2 linked regions of the Tamandua tetradactyla genome follow. The protein of the gene in region 1 interacts with the protein of each later gene in a biochemical or structural test. Links are inferred from orthologs where the notes say so. Each region holds a gene or a part of one and is shown in the gene's direction. Other genes may lie near its edges.

The links.
Region 2: the proteins of SLC9A1 (region 1) and TESC form a complex in vitro, tested with the Homo sapiens proteins (4 studies listed by BioGRID and IntAct, with this or other methods). The link is inferred for Tamandua tetradactyla from reciprocal best matches to the Homo sapiens genes SLC9A1 and TESC.

The regions. Positions count from the first base shown.
Region 1 is NC_135328.1:199,117,030-199,124,038, forward strand, and holds the start of SLC9A1 (sodium/hydrogen exchanger 1), read left to right. Parts: upstream 1-3,997; 5' UTR 3,998-4,843; coding exon 4,844-5,195; intron 5,196-7,009. UniProt on the Homo sapiens protein: Electroneutral Na(+) /H(+) antiporter that extrudes Na(+) in exchange for external protons driven by the inward sodium ion chemical gradient, protecting cells from acidification that occurs from metabolism.
Region 2 is NC_135331.1:17,544,253-17,551,956, reverse strand, and holds the start of TESC (calcineurin B homologous protein 3), read left to right. Parts: upstream 1-4,687; 5' UTR 4,688-5,632; coding exon 5,633-5,732; intron 5,733-7,704. UniProt on the Homo sapiens protein: Functions as an integral cofactor in cell pH regulation by controlling plasma membrane-type Na(+)/H(+) exchange activity. Promotes the maturation, transport, cell surface stability and exchange activity of SLC9A1/NHE1 at the plasma membrane.

The DNA.
Region 1 (7,009 bases):
ACCTGCCATGCCAGAGGACCCGGGTTCGATTCCCAGTGCCTGCCCATGTTAAAAAAAAAAAAAGAGAGAGAGAGATGTGTGGAAAGGCTTGAAGGATGTAAGGGAATGAGCCGGGTGCCCATCTGGGGAAGTGTTCCAGGTAGTGGGAACAGCAGGTGTTAAGGGCCTGAAGCAGCAGCGTGCCTGGCAGTGCAAAATAACAAGGAGTCAGTGTGGATGGAGTGGAGTGATGGAAGGGGAGAATGTCCTTGTTGGGCTGTGTTACTCTAACAAAGGAAAGAAGGAAACAAATTCAGTTACTGAGTGCCAACAACGTGTCGGCAACCGTGCCTGACATATACCGGTCATTTACTAACAGCCTCACGAGGTGGGTATTATGGCACCTTCCATACCCATGAACAATCTGAGGAACAGGAACAAGATGTGACTTACCTAAGAAGTGGCCAAGCGATCCTTTCTTCATCATGCCTTCCCTGCCACGCATCTGTACACCTCATAGCTATAGCAAGTCCCTAAAATGCCCAGGACTTTTAGTCAAGGGATTCATCAAAGGGTGCAGGAGGACAGACATGGCTAAGCACCTGGAGAGGCCAGCAGGGCCCAGGCACCCCGAGTGGCCCAAGATCTGCAGAGGGAGAGTCTGCAGAGACGTGGCCTCTCCCAGTCAAGAGCAGTGCGGGCCTGGAATGGTTAAAAAAAGAATGAGGACCTGCTACAAGAGGGTGACAAATATTGCAGTTTATTTTAACGGATTACCTTTAACAAGCTTATGCTTTTAACACACACAAATTCTCAGCAACATAATTTATTTAAACATTTTAAATTCATAGCATATCTCAGGTGGTGCGGTCTGATGGGAGGACCAGTCTCACAGACAAGAGGCTCTTCTTTCTAGCCTGTCAGCATGTTGCTGTGACTGAATGTGTGACTTCATGTGGCCCTAACGCCAAGGTTTACATTTGCGGCCCTTGCTGCATGTGAGTAGTGATGATGTGAGTGTGTGCGGTGCTTGCTGGGCACGGCTCTAAGTGCTTTACGTATATTAGCAAATATCGTCCTCACAGCCCCATGAGGCTGGCACGATTGCTGCCCACACATTATGGAGGAATAATCCAAGGGTCAGGGAGGTTGACTGATTCGTCTGAGGTCTTAACTAGTAAGCGGTGGTAATGGGATTTGAACCTATACAGTTTGGCTCCCAGCCCCTGAATGTTCAACTGTTATGCTACATGATCTCGCCTGGGCTGGGCCTTGGCCAAAGGTGGCTCCAAGTGGCTTCTCCTTAGGGCTCTTTCCTGGTGTTGTCAGGTTGTCATAAACTCCAGGCTGTGGAGGCATTTCCTGGTTCTCATGGGATCCGTTACCTCCAGGCTGGCACAAAAAGACTCACTGAGGAGTTTCAGAGGAGTTAGAGAGTAGGAGGGATCAGTACGTACCAGTGAATGCTGCCCTCGAGACTAGAAAGGACTGTGGGTCTTGGAATTCTGCCCCATCGTACCTGTGGAAAATCTGTATCCTGGCCACACCTTTTCCCTGTGTTCCTTCTTCTATGCTGAGCTTGTTGGTGTTTTGAAAGAGCACCGGACTCAGATGTCAGAACCCTGACTTAAGTCCTGGACTTGCTGCCTTGGGCTATGTGACCTTGGGCAAACTGCTTCACGTCTCTGAGCTGTGGTTTTTTCATCTGTAAAATGAGAATGAGAATAACTGCTAGTATTTATTGAGCTCTCACTATGCACCAGGGCTTGGATCATTGCTATACCTGGGGGACTTGTTTGTGAACTATGAAAGGCTTAACAATTGCAAGGCATTATTGTCGCTATTCTGGTCCTTGCTTAGATGCCATTCCTCTCTTTGATTACTTCCATTACAGCTGATGTTCTCTTTTCATCTGTTCCCAGGTGACACAGGGACCCTCGTCTTCCCTGAAGGCCCTTCTAGGCTCTTCCATCATCTCCGTGATAGCTGAGCCTATGCCAGGAGAATGTGAAGTACAGAGAACTTGCTTCAGTGTTGTCACCCTCAGTCATGGTCACATTACTCTTATTATTTAAATATATCTTTTTGCTTGTGGTGGGTTAGCAAACTTAGAGAAAAGTGCACCCACGAGGGCCTGCATGTTCAAAGAGTTATCACAAAACAACTACATCTATGTAACCTTTGTAAAAAATTAGTAGCACATCAGAAGTCCTCACAGTCTACCCCTTCCTTTGTGCCACTTCCCAATCACTACTTCTTCCTTCCGCCCCAAAGCTAATCATTATCTTTACATCCAACATCATAGTTTCCCTAATTTTGTACTTTATGCAATTACACAGTATTTAGAATTTTATGTTTAGTGTTTTTCACTCAACTTTGTTTGTGAAAGTCATTCATGTTGTTGTTTAGCAATAGCACATTCATTTTTGTTGCTATATAGCATTCTATCACATGAATACACCTCAATTTATTTACTGCCATTGTTGGCTATTTGGGTTATTTTCAGTTTTGGCCATTATGAATACTGCTGCTATGGACATTGTTATACCCACTGCCTTTTGTGTACATAAATATGCGTTATCTTATTTATTTGCTTCTTAATGCATATCAATATTTTTTCTTATCCATTTGTTTAATTTATTATCTCTCTCCCTCCAGTGGAGCATCAGTTCCATGAAAGCAGGGACCCTGTCTGTCTTGTTCATGGCGGTATGCCCAGTACTTAGCACCTGACACAAAGAAGGTGCTCAGTAGAATAAATATTTGAAGATAACGGAAACTGACATATGCCTAGCACTTTGACTTCATGGAGTGCTTTCACATACACTTTAGTTCTCACTAGAATCCATTTTGACTTAGATATTGTTAGTGTCATCACCCCCATTTTATGGATGAAGAAATAGGCTCAAAAAGGTGATATGACTTGCTGAAGATCATTCATCAGGCAACAGTTAACTAGATTTGAACCTATCTTAATCTGACAACAAATCCAGTAATCTTTCCACTGTATGCTGTTGCCTTACGAGATTGGAGAAGCCCAGGATTGAAATCCAGAACCACAGAAGATGGTAGAAGCAACCTCCTAAGAGTGCAGTTTATTTTCTACTTTCTGAAGTCCTAGAGTAGTGGAAAGAAGATCCAATGGAAAATTAGGACACTGGGCACTGTATAAACTGAGGGCAAAAACCATGTCATTCATCTCTATTTTGGCAGAGCACAGCCAAGGCTTATCACAAGATACCCAATAAATGTTGGACAAGCTGAATCAAATCCCTGTGAAATCACTCGTGACTTTGAACTAGTCACTTTGACTTCTTGGCCTCAATGTACTCTTCTGCAAAACAGGGACAGCATTTCAGTAGTTTAGTAGTTCTCTGTCCTCACACATGTAAGCTGTACATTAGAATCGCCCAAGGATCTTTGAAAAAAATACCCATGCCTGGGCACTCTCCTGAAGCAGTTTAATCCAAACCTCTAAAGATGGGTTTCCAGCAACACCACTTAAAAAAAACTTTCTAGTGATTAAGTACTGCCAATCAACACCACAGATTCAAACCTCGCTCTACAACCTACATTCTAGCTAAGGAACACTCTGTGCCTCAGTTTTCTCCTAGTAATGGTCTGGTGTGCCATTCTAGATACTTGATCTCATTTAGTCATCACGGTATCCTGGTACAGGTGCTACTACTACCTCCACTTTACAGATGAGAAAGCTGTGGAACATGTTCAGAAACTTGCTCAGGGTCACATGGTAACTAAATATTTAAGATAATAATATGTCTTTCACAGGATTATTGATAAGCCTTCATGAGCCCGCGGATGTGGAGGTGAAAGCGCTTTTTAAATAGTAAATCACTTTACTTTTTTTGCCTCTTGACTCTTCTTGCTCTTCCCACGTGATACTTCCTTCCCTCGGCGAAAGGGGCCGCTGTGCTGCGCGGGCGCTGACAGGTCGCTCTAGCCGCGGGCTCCGGTAGCTCGGTGGTGCCTATAAGAGGCGGCGCCGGGCTCAGCGCGGAATCAGTCTGCTGCCACCCGGGCTGAGGTTGTGGCTGGGATTAGGACTGGACCTGGACGCGGACGACCTGCCGCCGGGCCGTGGCGGAGCGCAGCGACGTCCAGGGGCCGCAAGAAGGGGCGTGTTGTCGCCGGCCCACCACCAGCCGCCCCCAGCCCGCGCCGAGGCGCCCTGCTGCCGGGCTGCCTTCCTCCGCCTTCCGCCTCCCTCCATTTCCCCGGAATCTCAGCCCAGCGCCTCGACCCCAGCCCTTCTCTGGGTGGGGAGCACCCGGCCGCTTTCCGGCTTCATTCCTTCCTGGCAGCTTGGACTCCCAGCGTCCTCTCTCCGTATTCCTGGCCTGGGTCCCATCCTCCCTGGTCCCCTTCCTTTAGCCTGGGCTCCCTACCCCTTTCCTTATTCCACAGTCCCAGCTCCTCAGTCACTTTCCTCAGCCAAGGGTCGCAGTCTTCCTTCTTCCTATCACTTGCCTGGGGTCCAGCCACCCCAGTCCCCTGCTCTGGCTCCAGGGCTCAGACTCCTCCCCTCCCCCTCTCTTTTCCAGGCCTAAGGTTCCACACCTTTGTCTCCTCCTGCAATCCTTCCTGGGTCCTTGTCCCTCTTCTCCATTTTGGAGTTCCAGTTCTCGGTCTCAAATCTTGGGGTTCCCACCTATTGCGACCCCCCCCCCCCACCTCTTTCCACCCCAGAGGACTGCTTCCACGAAAGTACTTCTCTAGAACATGAACTTTTCCTAGAGACTCTTCCAGTCTCTCTTCTGGCATTCGGACCCCTTCCTACCCATGTCCCACGTCTTACTCTCCCTTTGCTAAAGGTAGAGGCCCACTGGGCCCAGGGAGCAGGACGATGCCTCTGTGGCGTGGCATCAGTGGCCCCTCTCCACCACGGATCTTCCCTTCGTTTCTCATGGTGGTAGCCTTGGTGGGACTGCTACCTGTCCTCAGGAGCCATGGCCTCCAGCCCAGCCCCACTGCCAGCACCATCCGGGGCTCCGAGCCACCCCGGGAGCGCTCTATCGGGGATGTCACCACCGCCCCACCTGAGGTCACCCCGGAGAGCCGCCCTGTTAACCATTCCGTCACTGACCACAGCACGAAGACACGAAAGGCCTTTCCAGTCCTGGGTATCGACTACCCACACGTGCGCATACCCTTTGAGATCTCCCTGTGGATCCTGCTGGCCTGCCTCATGAAGATAGGTAAGTCCAGTTGGCTCTCATGCCACCACCACCACCTGACTGGCTTACCATTTGGGGCTGCCCAGGAATAAGGGTCCTGGATCATGGGCAGCCTCCATCCTGCTATCTTGGTCCTTCTCAAACTTTAGCTTTGTGGCCTCTGAGGTTTTGAGGCCTGCTAAGAATGGAAATCAGCATCTTGTGTGGGAGAGAGCAGGCAGGATGAGAGGATGGCCCCCACTGATATTAGGTACCTTCAGCAGGACTTCCAGGCCTGACAAGTCTTCCCCTGGCTGGGCCAGACCCCTTGGGAGCCAGACACCCAGATGTGTGTGAGACTCAGAAGTTTCTTCCAGCAAGAGGCACATTCTGCTTTGTGGACAGCAACTGGTGCAATTACATGCTTCATGGTAGAGTGGCCCAGGACAGAGAATAGCCCTCTCTACTTGACCTGTCTGAGGCCTGTCCTGTATAGCAGGAGCCCTGGGTGCTGGAGATTATAAGTGGGGTGGAACATGAGAGATTCTCAGATTCTCACATTCCTTTATCCCCAGAATGCTATCTGTCAGGTTTACCTGTCCAGGCTGGTTAGGAGTCCCTGAGTCAGTTTCCTGCCCAGGAATGCCATGCTTTATACAGTTTATGGGACAGGGACCCTAGACATTTCTGAGGCTTATTTTGAGGATGGAGGGAGAGCGGAGGAAGTTGCAGCTTGGTCTGGACCTAACTCACCTCCAGGTTAGCACCTGGCTGTGTCTTATGTGCCATCTGAGCTGTCCAGTCACATTGGCTTTCTGTCCGTCCAAGTAGAAGAGGTATAGGTGAAAGGGCTAGGGTGTTCTGGTCTGAAGAGACTTTGAAATGCCCTTTTTGGGGCAAAGGAGCAGAAAAGTTGTTCCCTCCCATAGGGGTGGTTTCCCTTCTAGGCCTGAGCATCCTGTCCTACTGGGTGGTCGATGGAGCTGACCAGAACCTGCATAGCTCAGAAGTCCCAATCCTTAGTCGTGGTGTCCAGGCTGGCTTTGATTGTTGCCTTTGCTTTTTTCAGTCCCCAGCGAACTGTGGAAGACACAGAGACATGGGTCTCTGCTCCCCTCTTTGCCTAAGGTTGGGTTTGGGGTGTTTATGACTCTTGGCACCTTTCCCAAGGACATGCAGAAGCTGAGTGGCTGTGCCAGTCAGGCTCTGGGACATGCTGCAGAAGGGCACTGGTGCCTGGCACTCTCACTGAATCTTGACAGATCCAGGATCTGGCTTCCTGGTGCCGAGCCGGTCACAGTGGCAGGGCTGGGCATGGAGCTGGGCTGCCAGTACCTACACACTGGTGGCAGCTGTGCTTCCTGGAAGAGTCAAGGACTGGGCAAAGAGAGCCATGTGTACTGATTCTGATACAATTTTGTGACCTTAAACAAGCTAGGGCCTTTTTCAGCTGGTCTCTCCCACCTGTGAAATGGGCAGGACTCTCTAGATTTGACCATACCAGTTGAGACCATGAGTCTTACCTTGTTGTAAAAAACTGAAGTCACTGTAATGTGTCATTTGCCTGTGTGAGACCAGAAGAGACCTTGCAATTGCTGTCTATAAACTGCCCTCCTCTCTCCAGCTCCCTCACCTCTGGACCCACACCTGGCATTGTGTTAAGGGCATTGGGGACTGGCACACAATGCAGGTCTCTCTCAGTGCCGGCTGACGGAATGAGAGCATAGCACAAAGATCCATTTTGGGCTGTTGGTAGTTATCCCTACAAGCCTCATGGTATCTTTAGTTCTAATTGGCCTGGCCTTCGTCACCACAGAGTACTGAGCCCAGGACCCTGGGCTGCTGGATGGCACAGA
Region 2 (7,704 bases), on another chromosome or scaffold:
TGAGGATTCGGCAATCATACTCCTTTGTTAAACCCTACCTTCTCTGTATAACTCCATCATCACCTTTGATCTTTCTCCCACTCTTTAGGGGTATTTGAGCTATGGTCATTCTAACTTTTTCATGTTGGAAGGGGCTGTAAATATTACAGGGTAGGGAGATGGAACTAGCTGATGTTCTGCAGAGGCTGGGCCTCTAGGTTTCAGGATTTATCTGGTCCAAGGACCCATCTGGAGGTAGTAGGTTTCTGGAAAGTTACCCTAGTGCATGGAACCTTTGGAGAATCTTAATGTAAAGTCCTTGTGTTCTTAAGGATTGGCAGGAATGGTTTTGGTTGGGATTTGGCAAGCTATGATAGGTAGCAATATCTGTCTAATTGAAGCTTGTGTAAGAGTGACCTCCAGAGTGGCCTCTCAACTCTGAACTCTCTCAGCCACTGAAACCTTATTTATTACACTTTTTTCCCCCTTTTGGTCAGGATGGCATTGTTGATCCCACGGTGCCAGGGCCAGACTCATCCCTGGGAGTCCTCTCCCATGCTGCGAGGGAGACTTTCACCCCCATATGTCATGTCCCACATAGAGGGGAGGGCAGTGGTTTCACATGCAGAGTTGGGCTTAGAGAGAGCGAGGCCGCATCTGAGCAACCAAAGAGGTCCTCCAGAGTGACTCTTAGGCACACCTGTAGGTAGGTTAAGCGTCTCAACTACCTGTATAAGCTTCACAAGAGCAAACCTCGAGATCACAGGTCTTGGCCTGTTTACTTGGGTGTCCCTAATGTTTGGCACAGTATCAAGGGATTCCCCAGTAGCAAAGTTTAATAGTTCCGTATTTTTTCTCCCATCGCTCAAGGGACTTTGCCAATACTTTTATTATCTGCTTAATATATTCTAGGATGTATCTAGGCATTACACTAAGCTATACAGGATTAAAGACCCTCATTCTTATTCTGGGCTCCCTGGGTTTCGATTGTTTAAATGAGCTATCCAGACAGGTTGAGTTAGATTATGTGCTGCAGAAAATTTAGGTTCCAGACCAAATAAACCTTTCTTCCTTTGTACTCAAAGAGTAGGTGAGGTTCTAAACTATGGACACTGCCTTCCTTACCTCTGTATTCTGAATTACCTTAATCCTGACCTGATCAGCTTTGTTCTTTTCTCTAAATATCAGGTTATACATACATAAAACAGCCTCTCAAAATCCAGAAATAATAATTACTGCAATAGGCTGCTATAAGAGCTTAGACTCTAGACCCCCGTTTTCTTATAAGTGTTTTCTAAAGGAGACCATACAATAATTGCTCTTTTGTTTCTGGCTGAATGTCCCACAGGTTCATTCACAGTGTTGTATGCCTCACAACTTCGTTCCTTTTTGTAGGAACACAATCTTCAATCATATGCATACACCATCGTTTGCTAATTTACTTCTCAGTCAGTGCATCCTTTAGCCACCTGCATTCATCGGGCATCATGTATAATGTCCAAAGTCCACAGTCCATCAACACTCCCAATTTTTAATAATTTCATCGTTTCCAAGAGAAAACCAATAAACACACCCTGGCCAAATAGGAGATCTAATCCTCCTCTTAACTCTTGTCCCTCCCCCTGTTATTTACCTCTGTTGTTACTGTGGTAGTGCTGTTTTCCTTTTAAATATAGCCCATGGCATGCAATAGCAGTTTTCCCCTGTACCCTGAACTTAAACACTCTTTGTACACAAATAGTACCTTTGAAGTAATTCTTACAAGAGCTAATTCCTATTTCTAGTGTTAATCAGTGGGACGTGTAGGTCTAAAAATACAACCCCTTTCAATCTTGTTCATCTTCAGTATGGTAATATTACTTATAGACCCACTAGAGAACCATCTTCACTTCTATTTATTCCCTTACATTGGAGTTCAACCTCATTAGCCAACCATTCACCCATCTCTAGGTTATATGTATCTCTAAGTCCCCTATATTCTGTATTAAAAGCCTCTGATTATACCTTTATGATGGTCATAAACGTGGAGTCATACAGTATCGATCCTTTTGTGTCTGGCTTATTTCACTCAGCATTATGTCCTCAAGGCTCATCGATCTTGTCATGTGCTTCAGGACGTCATCTTGTCTTAATGCTGCATAATACTCCATCACATGTATATACCACATTTTGTTGATCCACTCGTCTGTTGATGGGCATTTGGTTTGTTTCCATCTTTTGGCAATTGGTAATAATGCTGCTATGAATATCGGTTTGCAAATGTCTGTTTGTGTCATTACTTTCAGCTCTTCTGGGTATATACCAGGTAGTGCTATTGCTGGGTCTTAGGGCAACTCGATATTTAGTTTTCTAAGGAACCACCAAACAGTCTTCCATAGCAGCTGCACCTTTATACATTCCCACCAGCAGTGCATAAGTGTCCCAGTTTCTCCACATCCTCTCCAACATTTATAGTTTCCTGTTTGTTTAATAGCAGCCATTCCTATAGGTGTGAGGTGGTATCTAATTGTAGTCTTGATCTGCATTTCCCTTAAGCCAGTGAAAATGAACATCGCTTCATGTGCTTTTGAGCCATCTGTGTTTGCTCTTCAGGAAAATGCCTATTCATATCTTTTATTCCATTTTATAATTGGGTTTTTGTTCTTTTGCTGTTGAGTTGTATGATTTCTTTATGTATTGAGGATATCAAACCTCTGTGCGATGTAAGATTTCCAAATATTTTCTCCCATTGAGTTGACTGCCTGTTCACCTTTTTGACAAAGTCTTTTGAGGTGGAGAAGCATTTGATTTTGAGGAGTTCCCATTTATCTATTTTTTCTTTTGTTGCTTATGCTTTGGGTGGATGATTGAATAACTATAGACATTTTAAGGTGTATTCATGTAATTGTGAAAACTTTGTAACTATCATTCCCTTTATCTAGTGTATGGACAATGAGTAAGGGAAAAAGAGGAAAGTAAATAAACAATGGGGGGGTATGTATGTGATGTTTTGGATGTACTTTTTTTAACTTTTATTTTAATTTTTATTCTTATTTTTATTTTTTTGGAGTAATGAAAATGTTCAAAAATCTATTGTGATGACGAATGCATATAGCTATGTGATGATACTATGAACCACTGATTGTACGCTTTAGATGATAACATGGTATATGAATATGTAATATATTTTTTGTTTAAAAAAAAAAGTGATTGGCCAGTACTAATGATTTTTACCATTTTTATATGAACCGTTCAGAAGCTGACCACATGCTTTAATTTTGCACCGTTGTAGTGTTTTTTACCTTTGTTTCTAGAACCTACATATTGATCACAATTACTGTTTTGTACATGCCCTATTAACTCTTACAGCCATTCTCCCTTGTAGATTTAGTTGATTTCTTAAGTACACCTTTCTGTAGATTTTTCAGCGAGGCTCTGTGAGTTGTAAACCTTGTCTGAAAATGTCTTTATTTTGCTGCCATGCCTGAATGATCATTTAGTTGGGTATAGCATTTGCAGTGGCTGGATATTTCTTCTCAGTGCTTTGTTTCTGTCTCTTGCTGCTGTTGAGAAGTCAGCTCTTTGTCTAACTGATAGCTCTTTGTAGAAATCTGTTTCCCTGCCGCCATTTAAAACTTTTTGTTGGTGGTGTTTTACCTTATGCATAGTCTAGGTATAAATCTATTTATTTTGTTCTTGCCTGAGAATGGCTGTGCTGTTTTTCTCTTTGCCTTGTCCCTCAGGAATTCCTACGAGAAATGGATTGGGCCATCTCACTGTGGTCTCCTGTACTCTCATGCAGGTTTCACGTTTCCTATCTTTGTATTGTCGAATGCAGTAGTCTGGGTCATTTCCTTGGGTATGTCTTCCAGTTTGCTAACTCTCTTTTCAGATACTATGACTTTGCTTCTTGAACCTGACTATTAAGCTTTTTTTCATTTCAGTAACTTTTTACAGGAAACATCCAAATGGTATGTGGTTTTCAAATTCATCTCTCTGGCCATAGTTTCACTATTTGCACTCATTTAAAACACAGCGCGCTCTGTTCTGATTGACCTTCAAGATTCGCATGCGCGGACAGTTTGTTTCATTTTTACAAGCTCGTCTTCACCTGGGGGTACGTCCTCCCCGCCCTCCCGTCCGCCCTAGGGCTCCCCTGTGCCCTGGGCTGGAGAAGTGATCATGCATTTTGCTGTGCGAGGAACCTTAAGGGTCTTCACTGGTCCAGAATGGTTCCAAACATTCTTTTGGAATGTTTCTTTTAATAACGTAAGAATTTTACGTTAATTCTTCAGCGTGGGTTTCCTGCCCGGCAGAATTTTGGATTTTCTCCTGTGCATGGCCAGCTTGGGGTCTTGGTTTCTCCCGGCAGCCTCCCCCTTCCCTTCGTGTCCTGCCACCTCCCCAGCAGAGTAGCTTCCTTGTGGATTGTTTGGTCTGGTGGTGATAAACGTTTTTCCCGCCCACCGTACGTAGAGGGGCTGCCTTTTGTGTTCCAGCTTTTTATAGGTGTGGTTCTAACTCCCACAGACTCGAGGCCGCTTCTGTTGCTGGGCACTCGGCAGTCCCAGCCTTCAGCTGTTCGAGCTGTGGCCATCGTCAGTCCCCTGGGCCACCAGCAGTCGCTGACACCTCGCCCTCCTGAGCGTGGGCTTCCTCCTGGCACCTGGGGATTACACTTACACTCTTAGCTGTGTGTGTGTCTGTACACAGATATATATACACACGGAGATATGTATATGTGTATTTTTCTTATTTTTACCTAGTGTTTTCATGTGTTTGTGGTGGAAGGGATAACCCTCCTAGGAGCAAGAACTGGAGTTCTTTATCTAAGTGTCTTACTGTAAGACCCTGTGCCTTAGGTGCCAAAGTGCCTCGCCACTTGGTTTGGACTCGGCATAAATTTAGAGGCAAAGATCAGTCTAGAAGAGTGTGAAACCAGCTCCTGAGATGCTTTGCAAGACGCCCACTCTCCAAATCTCGACTGATGCAGTGCTGCTTTTTTCCCTGTCCCCATCTTCAGTCTTTTTATCGAAATGACCGTGTCTGTGTCTTTAATTACAGAATCATGTCTTCATTGCCCTAGCCACTGCATAGTTTTGATGGAACTGATAGCAGAGCAGATGGTTTCAAGAACAGATGCTGCTGTCACAAGCCCGGGTGCAAATCTGTGTGCCCTTTGGCAAGTGGCTTACCCTCCCTGTGACTCCATTTCCTCATCTGCAGAATGGGTGTGATCACCACCCTAGGAAGTGGGCACTGTTACGAGAACTAAATAAGATGACGCATGTGTTTTAAGTTGCTGGGCTGCTGGAGCAAAGCACCACAAACTGGGAGGCTTCAAACAACAGACATGTGTCTGGAGGACCCAAAATCAGCCAGGCTGTGCTGCCTCTTACACCTGTAGGAAGGAATCTGTGCCAGGTCTGTCTCAGCTTCTGGTAGAGGCTAGCTGTGCATCCGTGGCCTTCTCCGGCACAGCTGTTGCGGGGCACTGTCCTGTGTGGATCTGTCTGCCTGGGTCCAGTGTCTTCTCCTTATAAGGACACCAGCCATTTGGCTTCATCTGAACTAGTAACATTCAGAAATCCTGTTTCCAATAGGGTCATCATGCTCACAGGCCTGGGGATGGCGACTTGAACAGAGCCTTTTGGGGGACACACAATTCAGCCGCATGCCCAGTGCTTGGCCCCTTACCTGCCTTAGTAAACGTACCCCGGGCAGTGGCCCCGGCGCTAGCGTGAGCGGGAAAGAACGGGCGCAGCGGCAGGCAGGTGAGCGTGGGCGGGCAGGTGAGCGTGGGCGGGCAGGTGAGCGTGGGCGGGCAGGTGAGCGTGGGCGGCACAGCGCGGGCCTGCGATGTGTGCGGTCACGCCTGCCCCCGACACCCTCTCAGGCTGTCTTGGTGCCCGTGAGAGGACACAGTTCTACAGTCAGGTCGGTTCGCTCCGTCCCAGCTTCCCTTCCAGACCCCAGAATGGGGGATTCACCCCTGGGTAGAAAAACCCAATGAGACACTAAGGGGACCCTGGGTACCCAGATTAAAATAAGTGACATCTCCAGGCCGGGGTGGGGGGGATGGGGTGGGGGGGCTGTGCTTCCTGGGAATTCCTTGGCTTTCGCATTTCTAAGGTGGGTGGACGTTTGCATGAAAAGGGTTTTAAAATGCTGGATTAGAGCCAATGATTAATCTTTTTGCTCCTGCTGCTTTGGAAAATGGCATTTGTTTGAGAACTTTCCTTTCCAGACTAAGTGGTCCCCAGTGCATCTTTGGTTTATTTTAAAATCCTGCCCACTAGGCCTGGTCAGTGATACGTGCCCTCCAAGCATCTTGTAGGTGACAGGCCAGAGGGACAGTCCCCACTGCCTCTTTCAAGGTCCCTACAAGGCTCAGGAGGCCTGTCCTTCCTCCACCTCCTCCCCCCTCCCCTCCCCTCTTCCTCCCAGTTCTCCTCTTCTCCTTTTCTCCCCTCCCCTCCTCCTCTTCCTCCTTTCCTTCCTCCCTCTCCTTCTCCTTTCCCTCCTCTTCTCCCTCCTCCCTCCTTTCTGTCCCCCTCCCCCTCCTTTCTGTCCCCCTCCCACCTCCTGTCCCTCCTCCCCACAAAGCCCAGCATTAGTCATTGCTTTGGCTGTAGCCCCAGGTGGCAAAAACAAGTCACTCCTTCCCTCCTGAGCCTGGAGCCAGCTGAGGAGCTGAGATGGTCCCCGTGGTTATTGCTTAGGGGTGTCATAGCCATCTCTGTGGCTCCGGCTGCTGAGCCTTCGCAGGCCCGTCCCGAGCGAAGTGTGCATGTGACGTCTGTACATATGTGCACGTGCCTGGAAAAATGCACACAACACAACATTGACCGTTTTCACCATTTTTAAGTGTAATTTGTTGGCCTTAACTATGTTCACAATGTTGGGCAGGCATTGCCTGTGTCTTGCTCCAGAACTCTTCCTTCATCTGAATTAGAAACTCTGCACCCGTGAGCAGGCACCCCTATTGCATCTTCCCGCTGTCCCCCACCCCAGCCCCTGACAGCCACCAACTTGCTTTCTGTGTCTATGGATTTGCCTGCCCTGGATGTTTTCATATGAGTGGAAACCTACACCGTGTGTCGTTTTGTGTCCGGCTCCTTTCGCTCAGCGTCGTGTCTGCAGGGTCCATCGGCAGTGCAGCTCACAGCAGACCTTCGCTCCTTTCTGTGGCCGAGTAACACTCCGTTTCTGGCTGGACACACAGCTGATCCGTCCGGCAGCGGCCGGATGTCTGCTTGGGCTGTGTCCTCCCTCGGATGGCTAGGGATGGTGCTTGTGGTTTGCGTTCTGCCACTGTGTGAACCGCCTCGGAAGGGAGAGGTGCTGTCATCTGTGTGTTATGGAGAAGGGGGGCTGGGGGGCTGGCCTGGGGAGCACGGTCGGGACCCCGTGAAGGTGGGATTCCTACCCCTCGCCGTGCTCTCGGGAGAGTCGCCGGTGGCCGCCTTTCTGTCTGTCTGTCTCACCTCGGCATTCCAGGCTCGCAGCTGGCGTGAGGCTCGTCCTGGCCAATCTGGCAGGAGATGGGAAACAGGAGACGTTTGGGGGTCCTGGAAATGACGCCTCTGGGTGTCTGGGAGTCTCTTTCCAGGGTGACGCTGTGGCAGAGATAGCGGGAGGCCGGGCGGCTGGGGGAGTCCCTTGAGAGAGCAGTGAGCCTGCCCTGTGCTGTCCCCCCGCTCCCAGCCCTTCTGTCCAGTCCTCCCCAGTCTCCTGCACCCCGGC